2 linked regions of the Drosophila melanogaster genome follow. The gene in region 1 interacts genetically with each later gene. Each region holds a gene or a part of one and is shown in the gene's direction. Other genes may lie near its edges. The genes, in order: hdm and rec.

Evidence for each region.
Region 2: of hdm (region 1) and rec, changing one suppresses a phenotype caused by changing the other (phenotypic suppression), as found in Drosophila melanogaster (one study listed by BioGRID).

What each region holds. Positions count from the first base shown.
Region 1 is NC_004354.4:7,917,762-7,922,046, reverse strand, and holds hdm (hold'em), read left to right. Parts: upstream 1-1,915; coding exon 1,916-2,831; intron 2,832-2,882; coding exon 2,883-3,039; intron 3,040-3,142; coding exon 3,143-3,530; downstream 3,531-4,285. Other genes in the region: YKT6 v-SNARE, read right to left, coding at 683-1,157, 1,247-1,371. UniProt on the Drosophila melanogaster protein: Single-stranded DNA-binding protein required for meiosis. May be involved in the resolution of recombination intermediates into crossovers in the meiotic recombination pathway.
Region 2 is NT_033777.3:15,829,327-15,834,424, reverse strand, and holds the start of rec (recombination-defective), read left to right. Parts: upstream 1-1,792; 5' UTR 1,793-1,807; coding exon 1,808-4,071; intron 4,072-4,103; exon of another isoform or gene 4,104-4,155; coding exon of another isoform or gene 4,156-4,260; intron 4,261-4,331; coding exon of another isoform or gene 4,332-4,474; intron 4,475-4,536; coding exon of another isoform or gene 4,537-4,877; intron 4,878-4,941; coding exon of another isoform or gene 4,942-5,098. Other genes in the region: CG43317 (uncharacterized protein), read left to right, coding at 60-389, 491-901; CG43318 (uncharacterized protein), read left to right, coding at 1,032-1,034, 1,142-1,657; CG4576 (uncharacterized protein), read right to left, coding at 4,156-4,260, 4,332-4,474, 4,537-4,877, 4,942-5,098. UniProt on the Drosophila melanogaster protein: Required for meiotic DNA recombination in females. Probably not involved in DNA repair and recombination in somatic cells.

The sequences.
Region 1 (4,285 bases):
TCGTACAAATAGTTTGTACATTTTGCCAAAATTGACAAAGATAAGGTTTGTATATGTGAGCAATGAAAACGAGCTTGGTTCACATTTCCCATAATACTTCTTTATTGAAACGCCCACACATTCCGACCGCCAGTTGCCCGGATCGGAAGTGCGACTGCATGTGTATACATAGGTGCAGCCTTCCGATCCGATTGGTATACATAGATCCGCCGTGGAGGCGATAAGAAGGCCCACAACATCAATAGCTAGCAAAGGGCCAATTTTGGACCGCCGTGCCAACACATAAGTGAAGAGAAGATTATGTTAAGCACATGGGTTTAGATCGTAATCTGTATTGGTAGTAATTAACATTTAGATATCCAAAGCGTAGACATATACAGACAGGTAGACATTGGGTTAGCGGACTATCGTAACTGGCAACTGGCCATCCTATTCATACAGTATATAATATAATATATATATATAGTATATAAAATTAACTAATTCATTTATAAAAAGCAATCATCAAAGCCCAAGTCGCACCGCTCCCTTGGAGTTTGTTTGGTTGTAGTTTGTTGGTGTTATCGTGTTATCCATTATCCTTTGTGTTGTCTTTGATTTGCATTTTCTGGTGTTTCCTGTTGTGGTTGTTGCTTGAGAGGATTAGCGTGTGGTGGGGGGTGATGAGAGGTGCAGCTGTCGTCTAGGTGAAGCTGCAGCAGGAGTTAGTCTTTTTCGCCGTCTTGTAGAACGCCTTGCTCTGCAGCGACAATTTCTCCGACTTGCTGACCATGTCGTCCAGCTTCTCGCCCCGCTCCAGCACCGCCTCGATGGTATTCTTCAGTATGATCTTCGTTTCGTCCAGGTCGTTTTGCATTTTCGTCAGCGGATCTGCTTCGACGGGATTTTGATAGCGTGCTAGAAACGCTGGCAGCAAGTCAAATGAGATAGTGGCCTCCGTGCCATTGGGCCACTGATCGGCCGACACCTTGGCCGTAAAGTCATCCAGAATCTTTGTGATAAGCGTGTGCGCCACGCGATGCGGATACTCATGATCGGCGATCAGTACACCGGCCAGATTGTCCGCCCGCACATAGACATGACACATGTAGGCATCCTGTTTCACCGATTGCCGCAGGGCCGGCTGTGTGCGCTCCACAATCGTCTTCGAAGCGAAACTGCAAGAGGAGGAGTTGTTTAGGGGGGTGTTCGTCATTGATGACTCTTTGAGCCTGCGCCGTTCTTTGGCATCCACATGCATACTCACGTCATGAACTCGTTGACGGTGCCACGTTGGAAAAAGGAGAAGGACTGCAGGTCCGAGGCGGTCTTCAGGAGACGCGCCTCGCTGGCGCCCTTGTGAAAGATGCTCAACGCGAATAGTTTGACCATTTTGAGTGGCTGTGGGCTGCCAAGACTGGGTCTGCGGGTCGCGGGTTGCTCGACTGTTGCTCCTCCAATTAAATGCTTCTGGGGCACTGAGCTGAACGGTTGTCCTGGCTAATCCTACTATGCTCCGGCGGATGGGTTTCACTTTCAGCGCACTGGCATTCGTGGAAAAGTGCGACAAGTGAGTTTGTTTAACGCAGTAAATCTGTGCCGTTCCCCTCTGTGTGTGCGTGTGTGTGTGCGCGGGTGCACATATGCGTAGTGTGTGTCAGCTTATTAGGGATGGTACGTCTGGTATTCGGATGCCATCCGATTATTATCGATTCCAATGGTTACAATTAATAAGCGCAACTTTCTGTAAATGTTTTAATTGTGGTTTTTATCAAACTAAGTTGTTAGCAATACTTTCTGTTACTAACTGAATCTACGGCCATTTGTGGTGTACCATCACTACAAACATCGATAACTACTAATCGGCGGTAACGGCAATGTAACGGTTTTCTTAAGCACTGCAATCTGACTGGTCGCGATTTCTTAAATAATTTCAATGGCAAGGCGTATTAAGTTCCAGCGGTTGGCAGAGATGCGTCCCACAATGACCCGTTTCTCCACCGTTGCCCTGATTGTCTCCAAATCCTCGCCGAACATCTTCTATGACAAGATGAGTGGCACCGAACGAGGGGTTCTCAGCTTGACCATCCGAGATTCCCCCAATCACCTGACCAATTGCAAGTGCTGGGGCCAGCGGGACTGTGTGGATGAGTACGCGGCCATGCTGCAGATCGGCCATGTGGTAGACATTGTGGGCGCTAAAGTGATGTCCATACCGTTTGCTGCTCCGGGAGAACAGCGTTATCAGCCCCAAGCGACGGTCTCCTGCGCCCTGGTGGTCAACGAGGGATCCGGCTATGTGGTGCGCCACGACAATGACGACTTTGGCCAAATAACAATTCTCCAGCAGTTACTCCATCAGCCCATAAGGCCACTTGGTGCGGTCCTTAAGCTGGCGGATGTGCGTTCCGGCTTGGGATTTCCCGATAAGATAATCACCACCAATGTGAATCTACTGGTAGTAGTGGCTGCAGTGCGTCCAGTGCGTCAGATAAAGCGAAAGCTGCAGGGGCCACTAAGTGAGGTCCAGGAGCTGCTACAGTGCTTGGAAGTAATCGTGATCGATGCCAGCTATCCGGAAGGTATGCTGCTCTCCGTTTGGCAACCCGACTGGATACAACGTGCCCAGCAATGGCAGCCACGTCGCACTGTCCTTCATTTGATCGACGTGCGTGTTTCCTACTCGAACTTTCATCGTTCTCTCGTCCTCTCCCATTCCAATTGCACACTTATTTGCGAAAATCCTCAGGCGGCTGGAGATGATTGCCGTCTCTTGCTAGCTTTCGCCGCCACTGTGCCTCTAACAACTTTTAGTGGCTGTGACCAGGCAGAGCTGGACAACATGCCTGCAGGTGAGTAAAGGATAATTAATGCAGTATTATTATTTACTATAACTCTTTCAGTTGCCAGCATTCAGGCGCAGATGACGGTAAGACAGATATATTCACGCGCCGAGGGCGAACTGCAGGATCCGTCCATACATCAGTTTACTGCAGTGCTGTATGGGATGGTCACCAAGTTCGACTTGGATGGATTGACCTCCCACGTCAACAGGAAGTGGTGGGTGTTGTACATCCCCATCCCTTCCTAACCGCCGAAACGCTTCCCACTATCCGTTACATAGTTTACAAGACATATTCTTAAAAGCCCTTTTATTTTACAGCATTGCCTGTCAACAACATATACCACGGAACCTGCAAGATTGCGCCTCGGACGCCTGCCAGCAGTATTTTTCATTGGACAATGATGAACCACGATCCATTAGCTACTTCAATATCAACATTCATTTGTCCGACCAGACCGGCACTCTCGTCGAAGCCCGGTTAGCTGGACATCCGGCAGAACGTATCCTGGGACTTCGGGCTGAAGACTTCGAGCGACTGGCGGAGCGCGAGAAAAGCGAGCTAAAGTGGCGCTTTCTGCTGAAATACTTCGAGGTAAGATTGATGATCAAAAAGCCGGTGGGAGTGCGCAATCATCTCGTCATTGTGGTCGTCGACATGCAAGCCATTCCCCTGGAAAAGCTTGTCGCAAATATGGTCGTTTTCTAAGTGTATGTGGGGTGGTCCCATCAAAATACTGGTGAACCATCTACATAAATAGCGATCTTTATTTCGCATTTTCACATAAAAGTGTACAACTGCAATACATAAATAGATTGAAAGCGCCTCGAAACTCTTAATGTGGGTCCTAAGTGGGATACGTTTGGCTCATTGGGGATGAATCATCTAAGTGTCATTTTGCCTAGTGTTACAGAAGGTGCCGGTGTCTTTGGGTCGTGGTGGTGGTGGGTGGGTGTCTACGGGGCGTTTCAGGTCCACAAAACTGATTTTGGGTCAATTCTAAATGTTGTAATTTCGAGTTGTGTGTTTTAACATGGTATCAAAATGCATTTGGATAACCACAAATGCTTAAGGATTAATGCTTCTTTAAAGTCCTGACTTGCGACTGTTTTATTGTGTTATCAAACGTTCTGTTTTTTAAGACAGCCTCAATCAACGCTTAGTCTTTAAGATTATTTGATACCATTACCAATTTTGGTCAATTAGGAAATTTCAAATACAATTTTTAATTGATGGTTATCGATGTGCAACAATTGAATCATTTTAATACAAATTCGAAAAAGAATACAATGTGTGTCAATACGGAAGTTGCTTTATGGCCATGGAACGCACTGTTCTGGACGCCCATTAGCTTGCCTCAAACTAATCTCACCTGTTGTGTTTCTATAATATTTTTGGGGGGAGGATGGATCTACAGCTGGCGCGGCATGGGAATCACAAGCACCGACTCAACGCCAGCTGCA
Region 2 (5,098 bases), on another chromosome or scaffold:
TTTAAAATTTTTAATGTTTGCGCCATCCACAAAGGAATTTGATTGTGACTTCGCTCTTTATGGATGAAAGTAAAAAATTCCTCCAGAACGTTGCCCATATCGCTGGCAAATTGGATCTCAACCACTTGGAAAGAACCACGATGGCCTACAAACGTTTATGTCTGGAACTAGAGTCCATGAGCAATGAGGTGACTCCAGCCGTTACTCCTCCGACTTCGGCTTCTGCTTCTCCGCCGACCGCGGTCTCCCCTAATGGACTCCGAGCAAGTGCCTCAGAATTCGTGCCCCAGGTGCCGGTGACCAGTGACCGGATTCCCATTGAAATGGACAATGATGAACAGGATGATGATTCGGATGACGATGGCTACGATGAGGAGCGCAAGAGAGCTGTGAGTATTGGAGATTTGGAGATATGTCTCAGTTTCTAACCATCAACACTATCTATAACACAAAATATTAATTTATCTAAAGATAAATCTACCTAATTTAGCCAAAGCCCGCAATATACGGCATCCGGTTTTATAACCATCATTACGAGTCCGACGACGTGAGCGAAAATCACTTGCAGGCGGAAAAGAAGCGAAAGTTGGGCTATAGGACTCCAAAGTTTCGGCCAAACCAGCCGACTTGCCGGTCCCCAAAGTCGGAAACGGACTTTATTCCCACTGCTAAGCCTCCGCCGGAATTGGCCAATGGACAGCCGCATTTCAATGGACCCTACATGCCGCTTCTGCAGCACCGAATCGCCAACGCAGAGGCCTACGGGCTCATCCAGGGTTCCGACGAGCGGAACAGCCTGCTCCTGGATGACATGGTTAAGCAACTGGCCCGCCTGGACAACTGTCCCGTCAATCTGAGTTCACTTTTCCCGAAAAAAGGTGACCAGAAACCAGAACCCTAGATCGCTCTGAATGTTCTGTAAAAAACTATGAGTTTCTTATTAAAAGGAGGCTTTGACTTAGTATTCGATCTGCTATTCAGTTTTATCATTGGTTGCATACGGTCTCTAAAACTTTTCAGCAGAGAACAAAATGGTAAAAAAAAAAATAAATAAATACAAAGCTGTAGATAACCAAAAAAAAAGGCGATAGCTGTCAATTTCTAAGGCTAGTTAGTTAGTAAGCCCTAATTTCCCTTACAGATTCCAGCTAAAACCGAGACGGAAGCTCCGTGCATTAAAGATCCCAAGGAGATTGAAGCAAAACCTGCTGAAAACATGGAAATTATTCATAAAACGATCGTGGAGGATAAAAAGCACAAAGATCCCAAGGAGATTGAAGCAAAACCTGCTGAAGCCATGGAAAGTGCTGCTAAAATGTTCGTGAAGGATAAAAAGCATATGGAGCAAATGTTGGCTCTTTCCACGATTCCACTGCGCATGGACCAACAAATCCAGTGCATCAAGACAATTCAGCAGGAGCTGCTTAAGCTTCACCTGAAGCAGGTGATGCTCCTCGACGGCTGCACCGAATTACTACATGAACTAAAGGCCGTGCAGCCCACTGATGAGAACGAGGAGATAAAAGTGTTGGAAACATTTCGTGAGGTCAAGTCGAAGCTATCGGGTGTATTTGAACACTACCTTCCCGCCCAGCTGAGCATACTGAAGCAAGAATCGAAGATATCACAAGTGTCCGCCGAAATAATTCCAAAATAATTTTATTACATCGATTTATAAGTTTAAATATAAAATCGTTAAGGGTTCAATATCTTAGCCAAAGATCGTTATCGATATTTCATGTCATTTGTAATATAGGTATCATCTCTATTTAAAAGCGGGCAAATTTGTAAACTTTCCCCAGCTGAAATGAATCCAACGCTTTCCCGGGGGGGCGCCCCATCGCGATTTGTGCGTGGTCGTGGTCGCGGAGGCGGAGCCTACCGTCCGTACTTCTACTTTCGGCGCAATGGACGTGTGATCCCAGCCGGAGGCAATCGACAACCCAACCAAGGGGAACCTGGAGCACCAGACGCTCCTTCTGTTCCGCCTGCAACTCGGCAACCCAGGGGCTGGAGCCGCACAGCCGGCAAGCGAGGACGCAATGCTCACTTGGACTGCAGCTTTCTGCGGCCGGAAAACTATGCCGCACCAGAAGACGGGCTCCAGGTGCAGAGCATTGCGGTGGATAATCCACGGGCTTATTCCGGCTGGCGACTGTACTTCTTGCGCGAGAAATACGAGGAGGGCAACGAACTGGCCACAAGGATAATGGCCGTGGAGGCATACTACCAACGTAATCCTCACACCTTCGATTTTGTGATGATACGGGATCGGGGATTCTTCCCCCTCTGCGCAGCAGGCATCAAATCAGATGCCCAGCTAAAGGAGGTTTGGCCTAGTTTGTCCGAAGACATCCGTGAGCACCCGCTTCGCACGCTAGGAACCCTGTCGTTGGCTATGCACACTGTGGTCGTCAATCACCAGCTGGACTGTAATGATTCCACCACAGCTATGGTGTCCACTCCGGAACAGTACGTCCTTCCAACCCCACGGGTACGCAAGATCTACGCACGACCGGATGATTTTGTGCCTGTGGAATCAATAGAAGGAATAAGCCATTCCCGAGTGGACACTTTGTTTTCCATCCGGGGTTTTGTGAGCAATGTGGGCGAGCCTAGCTACAGCCTCACGTGGCAAGCCTTTCGCTGCAGTCGCTGCCAGATGGAGATTGCCATGCGCCAACGGGGAACCTTCCAGCCACGTCCTTATCAATGCAAGCGGTCGGAGTGTGTGGCTCGTGACGAATTCGTGCCTCTTCGCAGTTCCCCATACACCAGGCTTTCAATCCGACAGATTATCCGCGTGGAGGAGTCCAGTTTGAACTTGGTCCACGACTTTGAGACCAGCATGCCTGCTGAAATGGACGTGGAGCTGCGACATGATCTAGTTGATGCTGTGCGTGTCGGACAGGAGGTCGTGGTAACTGGCATCCTTAAGCTGCAGGAATTGGGCGACGATACCACCACTGGAGACACCTCCAACCAGATGCAGCCCTATCTCAAGGCAGTCAGCATTCGCGATGCGAGCAGCATCAAGCGGGAGTTCAGCGAACGTGACTTGGAAGCGATTGTCATGATCAATGCGGAACCCAACAGCTTTAAGCTACTGGTGCAATCCATTGCCCCGGAGGTATACGGACATGAGCTACCCAAAGCCGCCTGTTTACTATCCCTTCTCGGCGGGAAAGGTGCGGAGACTGAAGCCATCAACGTGCTCCTGGTGGGTGATCCCGGAATTGGAAAGACCAAGATTCTGCAAAGTTGTGCTCAGATCGCTGAACGTGGTGCCCACGTGAGTGGAAAACGTGGGGCTCAATCCGCACAGCAACTGGGTGTTACGTTTGCTGGGCGTAACAAGCGTGTGCTACAAGCGGGTTCCTTGATGATGGCCAGTGGAGGCGGTCACTGCACCCTCGATGATGTGGATAAACTTGCCTCCAAGCAGGCCGTACTGTTGCAGTGCCTACAATCAGAGGAAGTAAATCTTCCACTTGCAGGAGCATTTGCCTCATTCCCGGCGCAACCTTCGGTGATAGCGTGCGCAAATCCACAAAGAGGACAATACGATGAGGGGCGCTACCTTCTACAGAATATTAATATTTCACCCTCTTTGCTGCGGGAGTTCCATTTGGTTTACATATTATTGGACAAGCCCTCGGAGAGAGATATGTCGCTGACTGCCCACGTAAGGGCTCTCCATGCGGGCGCTAGGAAACGAGCGAGAATTGCAGCCCGCTATGCTCTTAAGCCCAAAATGAGCGACTCCATGTGCGAGGTCAGCCTTAATGTGCCGGCAGCGGGAAAAGATGATGACACAATCAAAACGGAGGACGATAATGACAGCATTATGCAGCAGGATTATGATCTTGACAAACGTCTGGAGGTACTTCCGGAGGAGGGGGACTTGGACCTGCTCCCACCCATACTGATTAAGAAGTTCTTGTCCTATGCTCGCCAGGAATTAAATCCGGTCCTAAACGAGGACGCCAGCAATGCTGTTCTGCGTTACTTCCTTGAGCTCAAAGGAAGCTGCAATCTCGATGAAGACGTTTCCAGCCAGATTGGCGCAGGGTAAGTGAAATTTTTTGGTGACGGATTTAATTAAGTTATGTCTTTTATTCTAGTTATAAGTAATCTTTAAGTTAGGACATTGGGCTACCTCATAAGCTTGAGGAAGGAGGAGACGGGAAGCTCCAGAAAGATGGCCAGCAAGAAGGAGCAGAGATAGGACACGGTCACCGTAAAAAAGATGAAAGCAAACTGTAGATAAGATGAGAACAATTTGAGTTACATAAAATCCAATTCCTATTGAATGCCAGAAGTGAGCTCACCATCATGCCCGTGCCAAAATAAATGGGCTCCCGCACTGTGGCCAAGACGATTCTCGCCACAAGAAGGTGGACGATAAAGGCTCCATAAGTGAGGCGTCCCAAAATGCGGAAAATGGGCAAGCAGCAGAACTTACGGAAAATCCCTGTGAAAGAACAGTAAGATTTGCCAAGGATATACCAAGCATATCTCGCAGTTGATACTTACATCCCACTTTGCTGGCCATGCCCACGATGAAGATTCCCAGCCCGAAGCCCCAGATGTTTCGCTGCAGGCCGGCATATAATGCTCCCCAAATGGCCGACGGCGTCACGTAGTAGTGCTGGAAGATGGGATGAGCACTAAACAGCCATAGAATCCCCACTGGAATAAGTGTAAACCAAAGAAGCTGGAAGCTCTTTAACTCCCGTAGTTTGTATTGCTTCAATGCCAACTGATCGTAAACCAAAGCGGCCAGGACTCCACAGAAATAGCTACCGAAGTTCATAAAGGACGACGTGTAGAATTCGGTGAATTGACGATCTCCGATAAAGGAATCCTTCTGGGTTCTGTTTGGTAGATGGGTAGAATGATTGTAATCAAGTAGTAAAGTTTTTAAGTCCGATCACTTACTGTGGCGTGGGTACAAAAATGGGATAGTAGTTCATGGCATATGTGAGCACCATTGGCACCACCACAAAAAGACCCAAAATGCCCGCATAGAGCTGTTTGCTCCATCTGACGAACCGGTGACCCAGCATCAGCAGCACCAAGCTGAGCACAAAGGAAT